3 linked regions of the Oryctolagus cuniculus genome follow. The protein of the gene in region 1 interacts with the protein of each later gene in a pairwise test. Links are inferred from orthologs where the notes say so. Each region holds a gene or a part of one and is shown on either strand. Other genes may lie near its edges.

Region 1 (2,992 bases):
TCCATACAACTGAATGTATTAAATTAGAACTCAGACATATTTTAAAAGTCCATAAAGAGTAAGATTAATTTTAAAAAGAATTCAGACCAGAGACATGGAGGTATTTCATAGAATAGAATAATGGGCTATTAGCTTTTTTAAAAACAAAATTCATTTTTCTATGAGAAAGAGAGAGAGAGAGGCCTTCCATACACTGGTTCACTCCTCAAATGCCAGCACTTTCCAGGTGCAGAAGCAGGGAGTGAATTGGACACAGAGCAGCCAGGACTCCTAGTGTTCCAACATGGGACACGGTGGTGTCGCAGGCAGCAGTCTAACCCACTGAGCCACAACACCAGCTCTGGATCCTAAACTCTTAAAAGTTGCTTCACTTCATTAGAAAACAGGAAAGACAAAATAAAAGCACATAGAGATAACATTTATTGTCATCGTGTTGGAAAAAAAAGTCGAACCTGGTAAATCCAAATGCTGGCATAGATGTGGGTTACTTGAACTTTTATGCCCTGGAATGAATAGGGAAACTAAGCTGATAAAACCTTGGAAAACAGTTTTTCACATTAGTGTGTTAAGATGAATGTGCACATAACATTCAACCCATTGATGAAGCTCCTGGCTACATAACCAGGTATGTCCCTTCCCATGCTTATCAGGGCACCAGTACAAGAGCAGAGCCAAATACCTTGGAGACATCTTGAATGATAAGTCCTTTCTTGTCTACTTTTTATTGTTGTGATTTTTAATTTTAAATCCCCAAGGAAAAAAAAAACTGGGAGGTAATACTACAATGAATTCCCTTTGTTGTAAAATATGAAGGGTAACCATCTGCATGCATCTTCTGAATGTTTATAAATTATCATCATGAATACCAACCTGATTTAACTCAGGATGGATTTATTTTTGTATTTACGCCTCCTACATGGTGTCTTCGTGTAAGCCTTTGAGAATCTGTTCCTCCTAGGTAGGCCAAAAGGAGAAAGCACTCGAATTTAATGTTCTGTTTTGCTTTGTGTGTTCTCTTTCTTTGTCCAAGGTCAAAGTGTGGTTCCAGAACAGGCGGATGAAGTGGAAGAGGGTAAAAGGGGGCCAGCAGGGCGCTGCCGCCCGAGAAAAGGAACTGGTGAACGTGAAGAAAGGAACCCTGCTCCCTTCAGAGCTGTCGGGGATCGGTGCGGCCACACTCCAGCAAACAGGGGACTCTCTGGCCAACGAAGACAGCCACGACAGCGACCACAGCTCAGAGCATGCACACTTATGATCCACACAGACAGGACCAGCTCCATTCTCAGGAAAGAAGCGTCGTGATGGCAAGCCTTACCCAACAGCGTTTACACAGAGAGATGGCCATGGCCGTGATTTTTAATATTATTAAATTCAGGCATCGTGTTTCTGTTTTGCATGATTTATAGAGGGTTTACACTAAGTGCCAATTATCCAAGATGCTTCCATGATGAAGATCAGAAGGTGAATTTGCTTCGAATATTCCAGAGATATTTGGTTGTGTGTATGACAGTGAGCAGGTATGTTTGCTTTTGCTTGCACTGAAAAATTAAATGGCTACCAAGAGCAAATTATGACACATTTCTACACAAGATGCCTCCAGAGTGAAGACATTGAAGATGAACTTGCTTTAAACATTCCAGATGTACGAGTTCATGTTTATGACTGTGGGCAGGTATTTGCTTTTGCTTGCACTGAGAAATTGCTATCAAGAATAAAACATAAAACCTTTTATCCTGAACAGCCAAAGTGCCTGAGATCACTCAAGTGGATTTTTAAAAAGGATGTATTTTAACTCTGTATATATTATCCTTAAGTCATTTTCCTGTCTTCACTAATTTTAGCAATACATTCATATTAGCTGATGAAAATAGGCACTGATAATGCCAACCAGGCCAGCTTCCTGCCTTTTTATGCATTTGTCATTCCGAGACAGTCCGTATGTGCTTACTTGTGTACAAGTAGAGAAAAATACAGTAGAGTCTGATACGACATATTCTTGTACCACAGACAAAACAAATCTTATGTTGCATTTACTATCAACTGCTGCTAATACATTATTATACAACTTACCTAGCTCCTCCTCGATTTTTCCTATCTTGTAGCTTGAAAAAAAAAATAGGACCATAGGCAAATCAGTTACTTTGTGGAAAGAGCTTTTTTGAGGCAGACACTGTCTGATTTTATTTCTGTAAAATTTTAGCTGTTATGAATATGACTTAATTAACAAGAAAATGTTTCTTCCTTCTTAGCAATGGTGTCAGAAAAGGAGCAAAGCCAAATGGGCTCCCCAAGGAGATAGACAAAACAATTCTGAATATCTTCAAATTAAATTCAGTAAAAACACGTTATTTTTAATATGTGATGTATTCTTGCAGAACAACCATCTTTGTATTTTGTAAAAAATGTTTAATAAATGATCCTTTGTAAATAATTTTGGTCTACCCATTGTGATTTCCTTAATTTCTACAGATTTTAATATTCATATCTAAGAGAGCCCCAGACTCATCTGCTCTTGTGCTAATTCACATCCAGATCATTAATGAATCACAGGTTTTCATTTGTAGATTTATTATGGCAAGAAAAAAAAAATCAATCCTTGGGTGATCAAAGAGAATCTAAACATCATCATACTGTAAACCATTTTCTTAATTTGAAGAATATGGCAAATGAATGTCTTTGCATGCTTTACAAATCAAAGATAAAAGTAAGGGAAAAGGTAACATTATTCACCACAATGAATAAGTAAAGTAGTCATATATTTTAAAATGTATGTTTAACATATGTGAATCGATGCAGTAGTTGCTCTAAAGTCACACTATCCAGAGTCCTTGATGTTACTATGAGCTAAATAGCAAATCAGAATCTTCATTGGAATGGACACCACAGGTATCAGAAGTCAATTATTATATTAACTTAAAACATTTTGTGTCATGCATGGTTGCACATGCATTGGATGCCTAAGACCTACTTACAACTATATCAGGTTATTTTT
Region 2 (3,751 bases), on another chromosome or scaffold:
GTTATGATCGCCTTCATCAGCGGATTACAATGATGCTGGGGTCCTGGCCAGAGTCCAATTCCAAGAGAGGCTATGGACCACATCATAGAATAAGAATGTAAGCAAGAGTCCATGCCATAAAAACTAGAAGTTTTTCCAAGTTTTTAAAAGTGGAATCAAGAGGAAGTAATGCCTTCCTGTTTGCAAATCTCATAATTAAAATGGAGCTTGCCTTCATATGGAACCCTGACTATAAGCACTGGACTAGCTGTCATCTGAACAAAGTTCACTGTCAGTTCATCAGTGTTTTTGCGTAAAAGAAGAGATCCATTCTTCTAAAAAAATCAAGAATGGCTTTGGTGCTGTTGCCTTTTTGTTATTTGTGTGCTACTACAAGCACTGGCTTGATGAGGAGGAAATTAATGCAGGCATTTGCAAAAAACCTCAAGAGATGCAAAACTAAAATGGAATCTCAAGTCATTTTCAGTAGAAATTGGGATTCTGATGCTCACTTTTCCTCAATGAGACACAGAAATGAGCACACGAGGAACGCAAGAGGTCCTGGTGTTTTACAGCCACTACAATACATACACAAAACCCAATGCACATTTCTGTGAATGTTCTGAGCGTTCCTACTGGAAATCATGAAATGCCTTTTTTAAAAGCTTAAATAAGGGCTCACTCACATAACAAGATAATTTTTATGCACAAATAAGCGTTAGGCCTTTCAAGCAGTGTGAGGAAATCCTGGCTATCTTAATTATCTGTATTTCCTCTAATTTAAAAATCCTCATTTAGAGGACGGGGCCTTGATTTTCAAAAGTACTGCCAGCTCTGAATCAATGCGCCTCTTGTAATAAAATAAGTACTCTAACATCCTGATAAAAACAAACATCTATGTTTCCATAAAAGTCGTAGATTACTAATTTATGATGTATTCTTCATTTAAAAAAAAAAAAACCTACCAAGCATAAAAACGTTTCCCTTCTCATCAATGGCAAACTAAAATATTTTTCACACAAACACCTTCCAAGTCTACAGATTCAACCCAACGGGAAGAATGAAAAGAAAACACACACACACACACACACACACACACCCTGCCCATTCTCCACTAGGACTCTGCGCCAAAACACTCCGTGCCGGCTTAAGGAGCAGAGCAGAACACGGGGCACTCCCGGCAGCCACCGGCGCCCCGAGACCCTGCCCCGCGCTCGGTGCGGTACCCTGCCGGCGTCCCGCGCCTTCACGCCGCTCGCCCCGCGCGCGCCCAGCGGCACGGTCCCGGCCTGCCGCCTTCCGTCCCGAGGTCCCCGGGGGCTGCTGGAGGCTCCGAATCCTCCCTCCAGCCCAGTACCGCCACTTCTCAGCCCAGAGCTTTGCGAGCACGGGGGGCGGGGAGGGGGCTCTCAATGTGCCAAGAGTCCTGCAAAGGGGCCCTATCATCCCCACCACGCGCAACTTTCATTCTGATGGCCGGAACCAAGTCCACGCTGGCGGGGAGACTAAGTCGCCCAGATCCCACCCCGACTCTCCCAAACGCACAAAACCCCAACAAAATCTACCGCCTGGCACCCGAAGGGGAAGCCCCCCGGCCCCTGCCCGCGCGCGCACACGCGCCCCCGGAGCCGCGAGGCGAAGCGGCATACCTGTGCGGGCAATCCCGTCACATCCTCCGCGTCCCCGGGGGTCTCCAGCACACTCTCTGCGCAGGACACCGAGGGTTCCGGCCAATCGCGCCGAGCCTTCCGAGCGAGCCCGCGGCGGCCGGCGTCTAGGCGAGCGTCCGTCTACACTTTAAAGGACACGCCGCAGTCGCGGAGCGCTGGGGCCGAGCGCGCCGGGGCAGGGGCCGCAGCGGAGCGTCGCCGCCACATTGCCCGGTTACGACGGTGGAGCTGCGCCCTCTGCAATCCGCGCTGAGAGGAGCGGGGAATAAATAGTGGACGCAGAGGAAGGAAAAGGAAAAAGTTATGAATGAAAACAAGTTTTCTCTCTCTCTCTCCCTCTAGCTCCGGCAGGAGGCGGGAGGAGGCTGAGGTTACCATTACCTCAGGAGGGCGGACTTCCCCACTGTTAAAGTGGCAGTGCCCTCTCCCCTCGCCTCGCCGCCGCTCCCCAAACAAGCTCCGCGGCGCACGCGGGTTCTGTCCCGGGGTGGGGGGCTTCACCGCCCTCCACGAGCGCGCGCACACGGTCTTTCCCGACCCCACGTCCGAGCGCGGACTCCACCGCAGAAAGCCCGCTGGTGGCACAAGCCAGGACACTCCTGCCCCCCACCCAGGGAAACACCCCCACGAAAGCCCCCCGAATCCATCTTTCGCGTGGAGACCACAACCTGGGCCACGGCAACACCCGCTCCAAGCAACTAAGCACCGGAAGACCCTGCCTCGTCGTTGTCCTGGGCCGCGCAAGGTCGCCCCCCCACACACCCCGGCTGCCCACCCCCGAGCTCCCCCGCCCCCACCGCCCTGAGCCGCAGCCCCCAGGACGCGAGGGGCGGCGGGCGGAGCCTGCGACGCGCGGCCTCGGCCCTCCCCGGCCCTGCCCCTCCGGTCCGGGAGCCCCGCACCTGCCGCGCCGAGCAAGCCCCGCCCGCGCGCCGCCCGCCCGCCCGCCTGCCTGCCCGCGGGCGGCCGCCGCCGCGCACTCACCTAGGCCGAAGCGCTGGAGGGCAGCCAAGCCGAGCGAGCCGGCCCTGGTCTCGGTGCGGGCGGCGTCGTGCACGCGCCGCATCAACCGCGGCGCGCAGGACGAGCAGGCATCGCCCAGGCTGCAAGGAGTGGGCCCGCGCGGCCTCCCTCGCCCCCGCCGCAGCCGGGCAGGAGCGCTCCCCGCGGCCCCCTTCCGGCTGCGGACAGCAGTTCTGCGGCCGCTCGCCTTCGGCCGGGCGCGCAGACCTCTCACGGCTCCAGTCCCATCCACCTCGGGGCCGTTCCTCTGCAGCCCGACTGGCAAGAGCTAGCTAGTCAGAGTCCCTTCGGGAGGCCTCTCCGAGTCTCAGAAAAGCGAGCAGGGGCGCGGCGGAGAGAAGAGTGCGTGACGGGCCAGCTGACTGGCACGGTGTGCTCGGACCAGAGTGTACTTCTCGGGTGCCAATCGCTCCTCGCGGGGAGGGACGGAGGGGCGGCGGCCTCCTGACGAGTGAAAATCCACGTCACGGGCGTTCGAGACTTCACGGCGCCCGGGACAGGGCTCGCACAGGCGTCGGGCGGGCGGGTCGCGGAGCCGCGGCAGGCCCCGGCCGGACCCCGGAGGGCACGCGCCCGCGAGGCTGCCGCTGCCGGGTGGGGGGTAGTAGGGGGGTTGTCTGCCGCTTTGGGGAGGGGGCTGTGGAGGAGCGAAGTTTGGGGGTCCTTCTCAGAGAGAAAACAGAGACCGGCGTCGTCCCTTGTCCCCCGCACAGGCCGAGGCGCTTTCTCGGTGCCGCACGCCGGGCAAGTGGGGGGCACAGTGTGTCCGCGGGCAGCCTCTCCCGGAGAGCGCTCAGTCCCGGTCCTCCGACCCTGCGCGTCCACGGCCGGGATCCCCGCTACAGGGTTCAGAGAGAGAAACTCATGAATTTCCTTTCTCCCCAGGCCCTGGGCCGCCCGCTCCGCCGGGCCGAGGGAGCGGGGCGGGCCGCTGGCCAGCTCTCGCCCGCCGCCCGCAGCCCGCTGCCATGTGCCGCCTGTTGCTGCTGCCCGTGATTGACAGGCCGGCGCACGGTCGGCGTGTCAGCGGCGAGCCCAAGTAACATGCAGACTTGCACGTTTTTGCCCAAGTGCTTTTG
Region 3 (3,751 bases), on another chromosome or scaffold:
AAATAAATAAATAAATGTTTTAAAAATATAAAAATTAAGTTTATTTTGCTGCAAAAATTTTACCTATGCACAGTTTTTTCATAATATGCATTTGCATTCTTTTTGAAAACCTTGTATATGAGTGACTCCCAAGTGAGACCAGCAGTACAATTGACCACTCAGCCTACAGATCCTGAGAAACTGTTTTAAGTCACTAAATTTAGGGTTTCCTTTAAGATAACTGAAACAGTACACACGCGTCAAGTTCCTTTTTTCTCTCTCCTTGCTTTCTCCTTTTGTGATCTCTATCACAATGTCAATATCTATCTCTTCCAAAACCACCCAAATCTCTGTCTGGTTCTAACTGACCTTTTACTTCCCTGACCTACAACTTGAAATGCCAGCAGGATACCTCCAGCTATAGGATTCTCCTGCACTATAATTTCAATAGATCCCAAACTGAAATCCCCTCAAGGCTGTATTTCACCATGTATTTGTCCATTTCTATTCATATCACTGCCATCTTCCATGCATTTAGGATTAAAATCAGTCAAGTCTTTCTACAGAACGCCTCTTGCAGCTGTTCTTTCCTTTTATCCTACTATCAGTTTAATTAACTAGGACTAATAATTTTCTGTGTGATAGACCTGCTTGAGTCCCTTCTCTATATGGTCACAGGATTAGCAGTTTCTCAATGCACAATTCTGACAACATTCAACACACCTCCTGTGACACTATGAAATATTTACTTGGTATTTGTCCTCAAATCCGTGAAATCTTGGAAGTGAGGATGTCTCTTTGTATGCTTAGGATCAACTGACAGCTGGAAGCTCCTGAGTAGCTTCAGGATGGGGGTGGTCAGCAGACAGACTGAGGCAACATTAGTGTGCTAGGACTTCCAGCTCCAGCCTCAGGGGAGTGGAGACGGGCTGAAGGTTGAGTTGACGGCCAACAGCCAATGACTTAATCTCTGTAATGAAGGCTCCTCAACCCACAAGGAGAGGATTTGGGGACCTGCTGGACAGCAGAACATGTGGAGAGTGGTGTGGATGCCCCATGCCCCTTCTCGCATACTTTGCCCTGTGCAACTCTTCATCCACATCACTGGGAAAACCCTTTGCAATATACCAGTAAACACTGTATGCTTTCCTGAGTTCTGTGAGCCACCCTAGGAAATGAACCAAATCCAAAGAGAGGGTAATGGAAACACGGTTTACAGCCAGTCCGTCAGAAGCACAAGAAAAACCACCTGGTGCTTATGGTTGACATAAGGAAGTGGGGCGCAGTCCTCTGGGACTGAGCCCTCAACCCGTGGGATGTCACTCTCTCCAGGTAGAACATGTCACATGCGACTTGAATTAGAGGACACACACTCAGCTGGTGTCTGCCGCAGAACTCACTGCTTGATTACCTGTCAGTGCAAACGTCAAGCAGGAAGGCTTCCATGTTGACTGCTGTCGCATGACTGCAAGGTTTGCTTTTCCTACCAACCTTCTCAAAGAACGTCTGAATACTTCTCCTTGGATGAAATTCAATCCCCCAGGTTCAATTTATCTCAACTTTTCGAGTGCCTCATTATTTTCAGACATACAGCTAAGTCCTCATTTAAATTCACCTCTACCTTCACGAAAGTCACTGCCATGCTGGCTACTCAACAAGTCTCCATCTTCTGTCCTTTACACCACCACTGTGCTTCCAATGGTAAACTCCCAACGCCCAGGGCAAATGCCAACTAAGTACAGACCGGGAAAACTATTCTGTCTCTAGGCCACGCAGGTGGAGGTGGGGTGTACCATACAAACCTGAAGCCACGCCCCTCTCTCCATTTCACTTCACCCCGACATGCTCCTAAACACAGGAGCTTATATACTCCAAGAGCCCGGCACGTACCTGGTAGTCAACAAACACTGCTGGACTTCTTGACGAAGGCACGCAGATGTACCCGAGATGCCAGTAGCCAGGGCACCCTCGGGCGGAGGGGGCGGGCTGTATCTAAGATTGCACCCCTGCACCTCGCATAGCGCCTGGCACACGGTAGACACTCAATAAGCGTGTGTGTTTCACTGCTGGTTAAAAGACCATTAAAGTTTAGGAACTGTACACAACAAAGATGTAGCCGACCTCGCGAAAGGCTCGTTCCCACCGGAACGCGGAGGCCTGGGAGGTGCCGGCCAGTCTCCCCAGAGGCCGGGCCGCGGCGTCTCGCTGGGCGGGTGAGTCTCCCCGGGGCTCCCTGCGACGAGGACAAGGGCCGAGAGCGCGTCTCACACCCAGAGCTAAGAGTCAACGGTCTCCGGTCTCCCGGTGCCGGCGCTCAACGCGCAGCTTCCGGCGGCTCGCGCCTCTCTAGGAGCGCGGCCGCTCCTCTCTGTGGTGCGTCGGGCGGAGCGCCGCCCCACGCCCGCCCGCGCGGGCCTCGGGCCAACGCGCGATGCCCGGGGCACCTGCACGGCCCGAGCGCGTCACACGTTTACGGAGGGGCTTTCAGTTAAAACGCGACAGAATAGCAAACACAAAGACGAATCTCACTCTTCGGGAGTCTTCACAGAAATGGAAGATCAACCAATAGTTCAGGTCAGCAAACTGTACAGATTATTTTATGCAGATTATATATGTAAAGAATCAATTTGTGCAAAGATGGTAAAATCAAAAGTGCCTCATTCCCCAGAGCTAACTACTGTCAATGTTTTGTGTATAGCATTTAATAAACCTCTTGTTTGGTGAAAAAGTACTCGTGTATATGTATTTTAAAACGCTTAACGGGATCACAATTTAATTTTGCAGCCCACACAACTTATTCTTTTTTTTTTTTTTTTAACATTTATTTATTTGAAAGGCAGAGTTAACACAGAGAGATGAGAGACGGATCTTCCATCTACTGGTTCACTCCCCAGATGGCCGCTATGGCCAAGACTGGGCCAGACCAGGAACCAGGAACCAGGAGCTTCACCTGGGTCTCCCTAAGCACTTGGGTCATCCTCTGCTGCTTTCCCAGGCGCATTAGCAGGGATCTGGATTGGAAGTGGAGTAGCCGGGACTCGAACCAGTGACGACACTGGATCCCGGCAGAGCAAGCTGCAGCTTTTACCTGCTGCCCCACAGCGCCAGCCCCCACAACTTATTCTTTAACAGCTAAATAGTATTCCACTCTATGGGTGTACCTTAACTTATTTAATATCCCTGTTGATGTACAAGCTATTCTGTAGGCATCAGCATTCCATGTGTACATTCTTTTGTGAATTCATTTCTAGGATAAACAATTGCACCAGTGCACCTGTTCAAAGGGCGTGTGCATTTGAAATTTTGGTATACAGGGGCAGGTGTTTAGCACAGCAGTTAAGATGCCCACATTCCACATCGGAAAATCTGGGTTTGAGCCTTGGCTTCTTTTCTGATTCCAGGTTCCTACTGATACGCACTTGGGAGGCAGCAGAACTAGGGTACCTGCTACCCACATGAGAGACTCAGAGTTCTAAATTTCTGCTTTCAATCTGCCCCAGCTCTGGCTGTTGCAGGCATGTTGTAGAATGAACCAGCAGATGGAAGCTCTTTCTCTGCCTGTCTCTTACTGTCTCTCAAACTAAAATTAAAATTTAAAAATAAAATTTAAAAATACAATTCCCTATTAAATTTTCAAGGACACTGCTCTTTAAGAATAAAAGGAGACTCTAGTGGAAAAATTAGCAGAGGTGAACATGCCTTGTCATAGAGTCAGAATTATAAATGACCAATTAACATGTAAAAAGATACTCAATTCAGTAATAAAAATATA

Evidence for each region.
Region 2: the proteins of MEOX2 (region 1) and SPRY1 interact in binary tests that used the Homo sapiens proteins (3 or more experiments, as listed by UniProt). The two-hybrid records come from large-scale screens. The link is inferred for Oryctolagus cuniculus from reciprocal best matches to the Homo sapiens genes MEOX2 and SPRY1.
Region 3: the proteins of MEOX2 (region 1) and PGBD1 interact in binary tests that used the Homo sapiens proteins (3 or more experiments, as listed by UniProt). The two-hybrid records come from large-scale screens. The link is inferred for Oryctolagus cuniculus from reciprocal best matches to the Homo sapiens genes MEOX2 and PGBD1.

Annotation. Positions count from the first base shown.
Region 1 is NC_091447.1:7,213,634-7,216,625, reverse strand, and holds the end of MEOX2 (homeobox protein MOX-2), read left to right. Parts: intron 1-1,030; coding exon 1,031-1,255; 3' UTR 1,256-2,431; downstream 2,432-2,992. UniProt on the Homo sapiens protein: Mesodermal transcription factor that plays a key role in somitogenesis and somitogenesis and limb muscle differentiation. Required during limb development for normal appendicular muscle formation and for the normal regulation of myogenic genes.
Region 2 is NC_091439.1:41,315,377-41,319,127, forward strand, and holds the start of SPRY1 (protein sprouty homolog 1), read right to left. Parts: upstream 2,449-3,751; 5' UTR 2,318-2,448; intron 2,217-2,317; exon of another isoform or gene 1,899-2,216; 5' UTR 1,629-1,898; intron 1-1,628. UniProt on the Homo sapiens protein: Inhibits fibroblast growth factor (FGF)-induced retinal lens fiber differentiation, probably by inhibiting FGF-mediated phosphorylation of ERK1/2. Inhibits TGFB-induced epithelial-to-mesenchymal transition in lens epithelial cells.
Region 3 is NC_091436.1:153,741,266-153,745,016, reverse strand, and holds the start of PGBD1 (piggyBac transposable element-derived protein 1), read right to left. Parts: upstream 2,331-3,751; 5' UTR 2,101-2,330; exon of another isoform or gene 1-2,100.